Linked DNA regions of Drosophila melanogaster. The protein of the gene in region 2 purifies or fractionates together with the protein of the main gene of each other region. This does not show direct contact. Each region holds a gene or a part of one and is shown on either strand. Other genes may lie near its edges. The genes, in order: CG11200 and pkm.

What was found.
Region 1: the proteins of pkm (region 2) and CG11200 purify together in Drosophila melanogaster (affinity purification with mass spectrometry, with the first as the bait; one large-scale study listed by BioGRID). This does not show direct contact.

What each region holds. Positions count from the first base shown.
Region 1 is NT_033778.4:20,305,155-20,311,993, forward strand, and holds the start of CG11200 (uncharacterized protein), read right to left. Parts: upstream 3,518-6,839; 5' UTR 3,407-3,517; intron 3,346-3,406; 5' UTR 2,993-3,345; intron 1,483-2,992; 5' UTR 1,442-1,482; coding exon 1,261-1,441; intron 1,198-1,260; coding exon 1,090-1,197; intron 314-1,089; coding exon 1-313. Other genes in the region: CG13868 (uncharacterized protein), read right to left, coding at 4,419-4,592, 4,659-5,029, 5,096-6,070, 6,116-6,355.
Region 2 is NC_004354.4:11,581,181-11,588,019, forward strand, and holds pkm (pinkman), read right to left. Parts: upstream 2,996-6,839; 5' UTR 2,981-2,995; coding exon 1,353-2,980; intron 1,294-1,352; coding exon 1,014-1,293; 3' UTR 1,005-1,013; coding exon of another isoform or gene 859-1,004; 3' UTR 777-858; downstream 1-776. Other genes in the region: nod (no distributive disjunction), read left to right, coding at 1-119, 190-724, 859-1,004, 3,126-3,316, 3,380-4,090, 4,169-4,274.

The DNA.
Region 1 (6,839 bases), on a different chromosome or scaffold from region 2:
GAGTTCCTTCCCTCCTTGCCTGCCGCCCTCAATTGAGGCAGAAGCAGGTGGGTGAGCAGAAAGTGTCCCAGGAAGTTGATGGCAAAGTGCGACTCGTAGCCATCGGCGGTTAGTTTGAAGGGCGCAAACATGATGCCAGCATTGTTCAGCAACAAATCCACTTTTGAATACCGCTCCTTGATGAGCTGAGCAAATGCCTTTACGGATTTCAGATCCCCAACATCCAGTTGCTCGCAGATGAGCTTGCCCTTGGTAGCATTCAAGTCGACTATCGATGCAACTGCGGTTTCGGCAATTTTGGGATCACGAACGCCTGCAATAAATGCATAAATTAAAGTGAGCCACTGACAAAAATTGCTGAGAGGACAGAACTTAATTAATAAATATCCTTTAAAACACTTTTTTATGAGTGTTTTCTAATCTACCCTATTTTACACAAAATATAAGCAATATAAGCGACACCTAGCGCCTGTATAGCGCACTTCAAGCTCTGGTTTTTACATCTATACATTTTACATAAGTTCAATGTAGAAAATAACAGTTGACTGTTAAATGATTAAAATGTTTATTATTTTAACTAGCACTAACAATAAAATTAAATATATTTAAAAAAAAAAATGATTTCTTAATAAATGAATTTTCTTAGAGACTAAAATATGCAGTGAAATTGTAAGTAAACGTATTAAAGCAAGAAATTGGAAAAGCAACAAAAAATGCCATTTTCAAAAATGTTAACGAGAAAATACAAAATAATTATTGATAACTGTGACCCTTTTCATTGAAATTTAGAATTCTTTTCTCCGACCAGTCAATGAACTCTTATCGCTTGTCTTTCCCGAAAATCGAGACTTTTACGCGACTTGGTTAGATAATGAAATCAGGAGAATGGGTCATGATTTCTGTATCGCATTGACAAGGGTGGGAATGGATCTGCATTTCGACGATCGTTTATTCGATGTTCGATTTTAGCTTGCCGAGCACGTGCACTTGCAGCACGGTTAAATGTTTGTGGAATTCATAAGCAGATCGCCGACTTATGGATAGGAATAGGCCTGAAACAAGTTGTTGGGCGGAGATTGGTCAACTCACCCATGACGACAGTCATGTCGCAGGCCAGCAGCTTCTCCACGATCCGCAGTCCGATGCCGCGATTGCCTCCGGTGATGACAGCAATGCGGTCCGGTTGTTTATAAAGTGCTTAATGGATAATGGCAACAATTAGTGATCGTGGAATAAGCATCGGCTAGCAAATTGACTTACCCACTCGATCCCGTGCCTTATACTGGGCATCGTGGACGAGCCCAACGATTCCCAGGTACTGATACCGAAACTCAGTCTTCCACTCGAACCAGGACTTCGGGAACTCCTTGGTGGTCTTCGAAAAGAGGAACGCACACAGCAGCAGGCCGACGAAGAAAATCCACAGCAAAGTTCCCAACATTATACGCTCTTATCGGATCGGATCGCCGTCTCTCCGGAACTCTGCAAAGGGAATACGGGTTTTGATAAGAAATCGGGCAAAGTGCGCCGGCTGATAACGAAAACCGATCCTGGTTCGTCACAGACATTAGCCATTAGCCGGCAACATTATCAATATTGGCGGGTAAATTCGCCTCGAGTGCACTTTGCGAAACTCTTCAACTGAGTCAGCAAGATTTCGCGATCCGAGTGCCAGCGGGTACATCTGTTGGCCATATTCGTTTGGAATTCTAGGTGTGTTGGCCATATATACTTGCCAGAGATTGATTCGTGTCACGATTCAGCTGCGAATAGTCGAGCTTCTACAATTATCATGCCTTTATACTATCAAGTTGGCGTAACAGTAGAGAGTAACTAATCACTTAAAAATGTGGTTTAATTATAAAGCTCGAACTTTTTGTAGAATGATCTTTGCTATCAATTAAAAAGGCTTTTACAAAAGTGCTGTTTTAACGCACTAATCCTAATTCGACAGAGTAACAAGAATGATGTTTGAAATCTCAGAATTTTCACCAGGAAACCCCATTTTTGGGGATAGAAGTCTAATAATTAATAAACTTTTTAATGATATTTATCAGAGAGCGTGTTCTGAAATCGACTTGACCCCATTGGCCGTCGAATAGCTTGAGTTGTTGCCTCTTTCCCTCAGTTTTTTCTTATTTGCCCAGCAATTTCCAGCGTTGGTTAGCCGGGCTTATAAAGCTAACGCGATTGTTTGGCCACCGATATTTGCAGTGCATATTTGCCACCTGCACTTTGAGCGCTGCACTGGAATCTTAATTTTTAATCGGGCGGGGAAACAATTAAATTAATTAGACAGAAGATAGTTGAGCGCGTTTATTGGGAGACAGCGAGAGAACTGGCTTAGGTGTGCTCGTAAAATGCTAATTAAAAACCCAAACAGCGGCGGAATGAAAGTTGAAGAGCCGAGCTTCGAGCCAAAGCCAATAAACGGGGCCAAAATAGTGAATTTGGGGCCAGAGCTGAAAATGACTGAGGCGCTAAACAGCAACAACTAGGGTCGGTTTCTTTGGGCTCTTCTTGCGGGGGCAGCGGGGAAATATCTGTACGGACGACCTAGCATAGTACACTGCGAAAAACTCTTTAGTATTGGTGTAAAATATAAAAATATTTACAAATTGTACTGCGCAGAATGGTTTTCCATTTTAAGAAAGTTAAGGAAATAGAATTATTTTTCTTGAGTGAAGGTTGTTTGAAATTCTCTTAATTGCTTTATCTTTTATAATAGATTGCACTTAAAAGATAAGAACTTCACTACAAATTAGAAATAGGTTTTGTATGAATTTTTCATTTTTCACATAAAGTAATTCCATTTTTTCTGTGTGTACGCATGACACCACGAACGTGCTGTCAAGAGTTTCGACTTCCGTCAACAAAACGCAAAAGCTTAGCAGTTTTACTGTTGTTGCCGCGGTCGTTTTTAATTTGGCTGCATATGGTTAACTTTCTTTTTCTATTGTTGTTGCCCTTGCAGAGGGCTTTTCAATTTTACCTTCAATTTGGCTGACGCAGACGAAAATGCACCTGTGCCTCGATTTCTATGCTAATATTGACACCCTTTTTTTCAATTAAAGGCTGCGGCGGCGCTTCCTCGTCTTTTTGTTTTCTTTCACGTTTTCGAAGAGGATCAATCGCTGGTGTTTGAAAACCGGTTTTTCCAGCGGGCCCTTATTTTCGCCACAACCGCTCGGCGAGAAATTCAAAAGCGAACTGAACGTTAGGTTTTAATTGCGCGCCTTTCCGCCAAGAACTTGATCCACGATTGTTGTTGTTTTGTTTTGGCTTATTGCCGCTGGTCAACAGGTGAATTTTACCCACTTGCCGGCTGATCACGCAGAAAAACAGCTGATATTGTACAATTACGTGGTTATGCAATGGTTAAGCGGGTCGGTCGGCGTGTTGTTACCTTAGTGTGCACTCACAAAAACGCTGATTTGAAACAACTTAATTGAAATAACTGCAGACAAGCGAAAATCCAAGGTGGATATACATCGATGGCACCAGGGCTGCACTTTCTCTGTTTCAAAATATCGATTGTTGATGTAATCATCGATATCTGCCGTCAGTATGCATTTTTCTTTATTTTGTCCTTATTCATTTGTAAATCATAAGAAACCTGAGGTTTTTAAACAAATGTTTTTATTACAGAGAAACAGAGTTTGCGTGTGCAAAAAATACCTAAATGTTGAGCTAAGCTTATTAACAGTAACATGTCTATTCTATGTTAAGCTACTGTTACCAAACTAATCGATATCACTGCCATAAAAATATCGAAATTCAAATTTAAGGCAATAATACACCTTTAATCTTTTCATGTTAGTTAAAGTTCAAGTAAAATTATGTTTTAAGTCTCCCAACAAAATACCTTCTTTCTTTTGCTAGCTGATTTATTTATTGAACCGAAATAGTACAGTGCATTTAAGTGTTTAAACGGAAATATGTTCGTACAACAATTACAATTTATGTTTTGCCTTGATACCAGTTATAACTAATTTTGCCATTATATAGTTGCGCATAAGTATATATATAGTTTGAAATTAGAAGAACCTAAGCGAAACATTGAAGTCTAAACTTTGCGCATTTCTTTTAAATATTTTGAATAAAATTTCGTTTCGCTTTCGATTAAATAATTCAGTTGGGATTACCATATAGAGCGTGTTGTCGTGTTTATAGGTGAATAAATATTTTGAAATATATACTAGACTAAATTGAATATATACTTGAATCGTGTGTGCTGGTGTAAGAGGTGCCTATATGCTACTAAAAAGAATATTACTGTGGAAAGGACAAAGTATTCAAAGTATTCAAATAGGTTCGGAACTCTAAGTTGCAGCTGCGTTGTCAATGTCTTTTATCGCCTGTTCCTCCATCTTCGTTTCCGTTTCCGTAGCAGCGACATCCTTAGGCTCCTTTAACTGTCAATTCTCCACGGACATGTTGCCGATGTCATCGTTTATGGCCAGCACCTGGCTGATGAAGCTCTGGTCGGTGACCACCTCGGCCAGGGATTTGCACAGTTCGGTCAATTCCGGCAGCGGTATCTTCAATTGCGGCGCCAGCCTGCTAAGATGTTGACCCACATAGTCCGGCAGCTGATGGGTGATAATAACTGGGTTAGTAATGGGTAACCATTGGCTATAGCTATCAGTGATCCTTACCTTTCCCTTGCCCACTTTAAACGCGCTGAACATCAGCTTCGTCCGCACTCGCTGCTCATTGGGTCCGTCGTAGAAGATGGTGAGGTAGGCCTCCTGCCCATTGGCCACCAGCGGGAAGTAGATGCCCGCATAGACCTGACCCTTGGCATCGCGGGAGAGTAGCGATCGGAAGTTGTACACCAGATTGCGGCGCACGGTCACGTCGATGGCCGTGATGTACTCTTGGGCCACGTAGATCAGCGATGTCTTGTAGCTGGTATCCTCGCCACGGATCTCGCGCTCCTTCCACTCCACGAATTTCCCATTCTGCTGACTGTAGGCATAGCAATAATCACGCTGCAGATGCGGCTCCTTGGATTGGGTGAACCAGCCTAGAAACATATTGCATCCATCAGTATATATGTATTACAATAGGCTAAGCGGAGATTACAACTCACCAGTGTGCGGATAGCTCTGATCCTGCATAACAGTCACCGCTCGGCTGACATGGTAACCTGGGTCCAGGATCATCACACCCCGTCGATCGCCGATGGCGATGCGCATGGCGACCATGACGTGCTCCTTCTCCACACCCGCGTCCACCGAATTAAGGCCGCACTCCTCGTCCAACTGAACGTAGTCGTTGCAGTCCATCACCTGCTCCTCGCAGGACACAACGTACAAGTAGTTGGCCAGCACCGGGAACATCTGCACCATCCTGGCCATGATTTCGAACGCCAGCGAGACGCACATGTGATGGCGTCTGTTGATGGGCACATCGTAGAACTGAAAGAAGCTACGCAGATCGGAGCGACGCGTGCGCTTAAAGCTGCGATAGAAGTCAACGAAGAGGTTGACCGTATTGTAGTGCGTCTCCTCCAGCATTCGCTGCAGCGTGGTCTCCACTATTCCGTTCAGCTCCTCATACTGCCAGACATTGTCGAAGATCAGGGTGCCCTTGCCAGCGGACTCCGAGCTCGACCAGTCGGGCAGCGGCAGCGGATGACCCAGGGGCCACACTCCGTTTACCTGATTGAAGGCCTCTAGGTCATAGCCGTCGCCCACTATCCATTGAGCGCCGGAGATGCCCTCCAGAGCAGCTGCGACGGGCTGCTGTCTGGCCAACAGCTGCCTGATGTCGGAGTAACGCTCCGATCTATCCACCGATGTCAGATCGGGCGAAGGCACCAGCTCGTGGTCCTCGAGGTCCTCCTCCTCTTCCTCCTCCTCGCTGGAGGTGGAGGGTGTGCGACGAATGGCGCCAGTGCCATGTGCAGTTGGGTGCTCAGTTGCGGATAAATCAGATCGCGTCGTAGTCAATCCCAATCCCATTCCGCGCACCATCGCATCCGCCAGCTGCTGATCCGCCGGGAGCAACGGATCGTGGGCAGCGGCGGCGGCAGTGGCCTCTTCATCCTCATCCGGAGAGGCCACTCCCCCATCCTCCCGTCGGTGACTGGTGGCAACGGCGAGTCAACTCGGCCATTCGGAGCCCCAGCGGCCCACGGTGGGCACATAGCCACTTTCGCAGTCATTGAGCGTGGCGTCTAGTTGAATGTTGGCGAACTGTTGTTGGCTTGAATGCAGTGATGGTTGTTGGGCAGCTTGGCCAGCCTGGGCGGCTCCAGCTCCAGCACTGATCAGACTAATCCGGCCCTGCGCTCGCTTGAACAGGAGGTCCGGCTCGTCTCCAAATTTCGTCGTTGGTTTAGACTGATCTGTATTTCATTTGTGGAAGAAATAAGATCAAGAAAGTTGATTAGAAGATGAATTGGTAAGGAATAACAAATAATAAGAATATAGTCAGATGTGGATTACAAAGAAAAAAGGACGACAGGTGTTTGTTTTTCAGCGGAATATAACCTTTCAACATTCCTTCTTTTTATAACAAGATAAGGTAGGTTCCATTAAGTATCAATTATATAAATTCCCTCTGCTTCATCTGCTTTTCAATCTTGAGATTACGGACCCTTGACCTGCACCCTTGGTGATCCCTTTTCACTGATTAGGAAATCCCTCCAGCAATTAGCGCAAATCGCAGCTCAGCAGGTAGTTGTGCCCTTATCAAAGTCAAGTCAAATGTAATTATCCCTAGGTACGCAAAAAAACACCTCGTAACCATCTGGCTGTCTAGTACCCAGTTTTTCGAGCAGTGTGTTGTCATGAAGTCCGAGAGATGTACAGTCGCTCTGCCATCGGGCA
Region 2 (6,839 bases):
AGGCGCTGATCTTGCCGCTGGTGGACAAGCTGCTCGAGGGATTCCAGTGCACTGCACTCGCCTACGGCCAGACGGGAACGGGCAAGAGCTACTCAATGGGCATGACACCTCCGGGAGAGGTGGGTTTTTCGTTTAGCCATCAGTGGCTTAAATCTTTCCCACTGATCTATCGCTTCTATTCCTTTACAGATACTGCCCGAGCACCTGGGTATTCTGCCTCGCGCCCTGGGCGACATTTTTGAGCGCGTGACCGCCCGGCAGGAGAACAACAAGGATGCGATTCAGGTGTACGCCTCCTTCATAGAGATCTACAATGAGAAACCCTTCGATCTGCTGGGCTCCACGCCACATATGCCCATGGTGGCGGCGCGTTGCCAGCGATGCACCTGCCTTCCTTTGCACAGCCAGGCGGATCTGCATCACATCTTGGAGCTAGGCACTCGCAATCGACGCGTTCGTCCCACCAATATGAATTCCAATAGTTCGCGATCCCATGCCATAGTCACCATTCACGTGAAGAGTAAAACCCATCACTCGCGGATGAATATTGTGGATCTGGCCGGTTCAGAAGGCGTGCGGCGAACTGGGCACGAGGGCGTGGCCAGGCAGGAGGGCGTCAACATCAATCTGGGCCTGTTGAGCATCAACAAGGTGGTGATGTCCATGGCGGCGGGCCACACAGTGATACCATACCGCGACAGCGTCCTTACCACAGTTCTGCAGGGTAAGTGCTACGTTTTGGATCGTCTCATGCTCAATTAGTTAGTGGACCATTTGGGTTCAAGCCTTTATTGATTAGCGACTTAGTGACTACTATAAATATTGACTGCAACTTCTTGCCGTTTTCATTCTTTGCAGCCTCGCTAACCGCGCAGTCGTATCTGACCTTTCTGGCCTGCATCAGTCCGCATCAATGCGATCTCAGCGAGACGTTGTCCACCCTGCGTTTTGGCACCAGTGCCAAGAAGCTTCGGCTGAATCCGATGCAAGTGGCGCGCCAGAAGGTGAGCCATCTATATGTAATTAAAGTCCACACAGTCGAGGATCACCTCGCGTATACGCTGTTTAAATGTAGCCTCGTTGCCCGCGCCCAGGAAACCAGCTCCATGGAGATCCGTAGTGGCCCCCGCCTCGATGCGCTCGCTAATTGCCTGAAGGTCGGGCACATCCTGACCCTGCATCGTTACAATGGGTAGAACCATCATGGCGAGAAGCAGGCCCACAGCCGCTTTGGTAGCCACCTGTTCATCGAATGCAGGACGGGGAAAAAGTTGCTCCACCCGCTCGCCTAGTCTGTTGCGAACACAACAATACAATAGTTGAAGCTCTAGGATTCTTATACTTTTACTTACCTAATCAGCTGCAGGCCCAACTCTTCATAGTAATCCTCGAGCATATTTTCGAGGTGTCGCTGCCGGAATCGCCGCGAAGTGCAAGTGAAGAGGAAGTAAGCTAGATCGGTGACCGGCGAGGCATATCGCATCAGTTGCCAGTCGATCAGGCGCACGTCCTCGAGCTCGCCCCGCTCTGTACTCTTGTAGAGAATGTTGTTATTCCAGCAATCGCCGTGGCAAATAACAGCGAAGGGTTCGCAATTGAATCCGCTGACCAAAGGCAGCAGCAGCTCAAAGTACGATCCTCTGGCGAAGTACGCCTCCAGACGAACTCTGTATGCATCATCCGCCGGTGCGAGCAGTGCGGATAGGGCGCTTTCCTTCAGATTCTCGAAGTAGACCCCCAAGGCATGATCATCGCGTCGCTGCTCAAAGATATCCACCAGCTGCTGCAGTTGTTGCATTTTCTCGGGCAACTGCCGTTTCCCGGCCAATGATATAGCATGTAATTTGGCATAGGTGAGCATTACGCGACGCACATGCTCGACGGATAGGTCGAGAAAGCGATTGTGCAGTGAGAAGCCGGCACAAGACAGATCCTCCAGCACGATGCACTCGTTGGGCTCATCCTGGCGAGTTCCGAAACAGAGCGCGTGCTGCCGGAAACGATCATCTCCGATTATCTTCCACTTATCCTGAATTAACGCAGTCAGCGGCAGAAAGACCTCATATGCTGCCGTCTCGCGCAGGAAACATGGTCGTGCAAAGAATTGCTTGCGGCGCACGCGATTCTGTGGCGGCAGTTTAACCACCAGGCTGCGTTTCGAATCGGATGCCGCCTGTAGGCGCCACACCACGCCCAAATAGTTGTCGCCCTTGGCACTCGCCCTTTCCAGACGCAGTTCCGGATTGGCGCCCAGCTCTGGCCACAGCTGGCTGACCAGTTGGCGAAGGAACTGTGTAACCTGCTCGTTGGGCAGATCTTCGTCTGGCTTGGCTGTGTCCTCTTGTTGCTCTACAGGACTCTCCATCCTGTCTGGGTGCTCTCTATTCACCTCCCCATTTCGTTCATCTTCGGTGTCTTCATGTGGATCTGGTTCGGCTTCCTTCTGATCAACTTGCTCTGCTGGAGCTGCTAGGTTGCCAGTGAGCTGAATCTCACTCGCAGAGATTTCTGCTAGTTTTTCCCTGTCCGCATTCTCTGCCAGCTCATCCTTTGATTTCGCCTCAGGCTCATCATCTCCTTCCAACAACTGATCTCCAAATGTTTGATTCAACTGGGGAATTTTTTTATCAAGCTCCTCTATGCCTTTGAGCTCTTGTTTGTCGATCACTTTCGAATCAATCTCTTTGGCTAGTTGTTTTTCAATGTGCTCCACCTCAGCACCTCTCGGTTCCTCCAACTCTGCCACCAATTCCTCCTTTTTCACACGATTATCTTCTAAATCCTGCACTGCTTCGCTGTTATTTGAGTTCTCCTCCTTTGGTTCCTCAACATCAATTCGTTTAGGTGACTTCTGATCGACATCTGGATAACTTTCTGTTGAGTCTGGTGAATTTCCTTGATCGGATGCCACTTCTATCACTTCCTGACTTTGGCGATCTTTCTGCTCCCCCTCCTGCGTCTTCTCACTGGGCTGTTCCATGGCACACTACGCCACCGCCGCGAGTGTGGATCGTTTATATAGAGAAACCAAGCCGTACCGAACCGAACTCATTCCAACCGCACTGACCGCAAATCGAACGATGCAGTTACTCGAGTTTCATCCACCCATCTTGCTCTGATTGCAGCAATCGCTGGCCGCACGGACAACACACGTCTTCCGCCAAGCGCTATGCACCTCGACGGCCATCAAGTCAAACGCAGCCAATCATAATAGCATAGTGGTTCCAAAATCCAAATATAGCACAACCAAGCCGCTGAGCGCCGTGCTCCATCGAACTCGCTCCGAACTTGGCATGACGCCCAAAGCTAAGAAAAGGTGAGTAACACGGAATGGACCAAAAGCGAAGATGATCTAATCCTCCCATATCTTCCTCCATAGGGCTCGCGAGCTATTGGAGCTGGAGGAGACCACGCTGGAGCTCTCGTCTATACACATTCAGGACAGCAGTCTGAGTCTGTTGGGTTTCCATAGCGATAGCGATAAGGATAGGCATTTAATGCCTCCCCCAACAGGGCAAGAGCCAAGGCAAGCCAGCAGCCAGAACTCTACGCTAATGGGCATTGTCGAAGAGACCGAGCCCAAGGAATCGTCAAAGGTGCAACAGTCAATGGTTGCCCCCACGGTGCCCACAACTGTACGCTGCCAGCTGTTCAACACCACCATCAGTCCCATCAGTCTACGGGCATCCAGCTCTCAGCGAGAACTTAGCGGCATCCAGCCAATGGAGGAGACAGTAGTGGCTTCGCCACAGCAGCCATGCCTTCGTCGTTCCGTGCGTCTAGCGAGTAGCATGCGTTCGCAGAACTATGGAGCCATTCCCAAGGTTATGAATTTGCGGCGCAGCACGCGGCTGGCGGGAATCCGGGAACATGCCACCTCCGTTGTTGTGAAAAACGAGACGGATGCGATACCGCACCTTCGAAGTACAGTGCAAAAAAAACGTACGCGAAACGTGAAACCTGCGCCCAAGGCCTGGATGGCCAATAATACAAAATGTTTTCTGGACCTGCTTAACAATGGAAACGTTAAGCAATTGCAGGAGATTCCAGGGATCGGTCCAAAGTCCGCCTTTAGTTTGGCCTTGCACAGGTAAGTTACTTACATAGTTGGCATACCTTTATTTGCGTTTTACCCAATAACCCTTAATCCGTAATCCACATTTTTCAGATCCCGCCTGGGTTGCTTCGAGAATCTTTTTCAAGTCAAATCCCTGCCCATTTGGTCGGGAAATAAATGGGAACGATTTTGTCAAATTAACTGTCTCGACACTTGATACAATTACTAATTAAATAGCATTTTAATTCGAATATAGTATAGTGATTGTTATTTATGTGGCATATACTTTGATTTTACAACTATAGTAGGAGTAAAAAAAGGAGCCGGATATCCTAAAACAAACAGTTATATATGTGTATGTGTAATATTTCTCAAGATGTTTACTTATTTTTTGTTTTCGACTATAATTTATTTGATGATAGCTTAGACTACCTATTAAATAAGCGCTATGTAATCTAATATTTAATTGCATTTTTTGATTTAAAGTAAAATAACTTTTAGGTCAATAACAATAATAATAGGACTTTTACACTTTGACACTTTTTATTCTTGGCATATAATTTTTAGACAATATACATATATATATACATTGATTATTGAAGTCGTCGATCTTCACTCTTCGCACTCACTCAACAGGGGGATTCTATCTACGAATCCATCAGTTTCGGCCGCTTCGATTCCAGTTTAGTTAGCACTCTCTCCTGGTTGATTTGGTATATACATACATACATATTTGATATATATATGTATATAGGTATGTATGATCATACGATTAGCATACGAGATAAGCTGCCAATCCAATCCAAACACATGGCGCTGGAAATCGGCATTCCATACACATTCCTACTCTCTTTTGGCTGGAAATCTTATCCGATTTCCCTTCGCTTCAAACATCAAAATACTCTGTTTGGGTTTCCCGAGCGTTGATTCATTAATCTAGCCATGATATAACAACCAAAATAATATCAAGCTATAGAATATATTTTTTAAAGAAAAAAAATCAGTCTGCGGGCATCCAGTTCTCAGCGAGAACTTAGCGGCATCCAGCTAATGGAGGAGACAGTAGTGGCTTCGCCACAGCAGCCATGCCTTCGTCGTTCCGTACGTCTAGCGGGTAGGATGCGTTCGCAGAACTATAGAGCCATTCCCAAGGTTATGAATTTGCGGCGCAGCACGCGGCTGGCGGGAATCCGGGAACATGCCACCTCCGTTGTTGTGGAAAACGGGACGCGCCTTCAAAGTGCAGTCCAAAAGAAACGCACGCGAAAAGTGAAACCTGCGCCCAAGGCCTGGATGGCCAATAATACTAAATGTTTACTGGGCCATCTTAACAATGGAAACGTTAAGCAATTGCAGGAGATTCCAGGGATCGGTTCAAAGACCGCCTCTATTTTGGCCGTGCACAGGTCAGTTGACATACGTTCATTTGCGTTTTACCCAATAACCCTTAATCCTTAATCCACATTTTTCAGATCCCGCCTGGGTTGCTTCAAGAATCTAATTGAAGTCAAATCCCTGCCCATTTGGTCGGGAAATAAATGGAAACGATTTTCTCAAATTAACTGTCTTGACACTTGATACAATTACTAATTAAATAGCATTTTAATTCGAATATAGTATAGTGATTGTTATTTATGTGGCATATACTTTGATTTTACAACTATAGTAGGAGTAAAAAAAAAGGAGCCGGATATCCTTAAAGAAACAGTTATATATGTGATTTATTTTTTAAATAGGCTTACCTAGGATATATTATATAATATATTAAATTAACAAAACAAGTTGGCATTTTAAATTAAAGCACAAATTGATTGTTATAAAAGTATTAAACAAAAAAAACTAGTCAAAAAAGAAAAACTTTCAAATAAATGACTTATTAAAAGTGACCAAATAAATAATATTCATTAACTTTTTTTTTCAAATTTAACTCCCTTTCAGCGTTGCCAGATTGGGTTGCATGCGGGATTTGATTATTTTTATTCACAAATTCTGGGTAGAGGGCCACTTGTGCTGCTCCGGCAGCTGGTCACACTGTACAGTCGCGCAGTTTGGTTTCTTTGGTGCGAGAAGACGGTTGGTGTTGTTATTTTTTTTTTAGTTCGCTCCGCTGTTTTTAGGTGCTACGCGCTTTATGGCCCGCTCTTAATCTTATCGCAAATCAAATCAAACCGCGGCCAATGAGCACCGTAATTTCACTTTTTGGCTAACGGTAACGGCACTTCCGCTCTCCGAATTCGATATTCAAACAGTCGCATTCCATCGAAAAGCGAAACAAGAAGTGGCCGTAAAAATGACCGTGAAAACAGTGAATCGCCAGCAGAGCCAAACGCCCACCCAGCAACGGCAATTGCATCAGCAGCGGGACGTCGAGAATGGGCTCTATCCCACGATTTCGGACGGAATATGCCACATTATTATCGGATAGAATACAGGAAATGTAGGATTTAGGTAAGGGAATAATAAATTTCTAGTAGTTTTCAAGTCATTTTGGAGAGCACATAGTGGTTAATTCATGTACCATATTAATGCATGGGAAATTGGCGAAAAACAAACACTCAGCCGGCACTTCGCGGCACTCACACCTACACAATCATACGTGCGTGTGAATGAAGTTGCTTGTGCTTGTGGTGGTCTGCCCTGTTGCCGTCTTCTTCTCACCCTCGGTGAAAGTTGAGTTCGATGAATCATCTGAGCATCGATCCGCTATGGCGGCGATCTTCACTCTTCGCACTCACTCAACAGGGGGATTCTATCTACGAATCCATCAGTTTCGGCCGCTTCG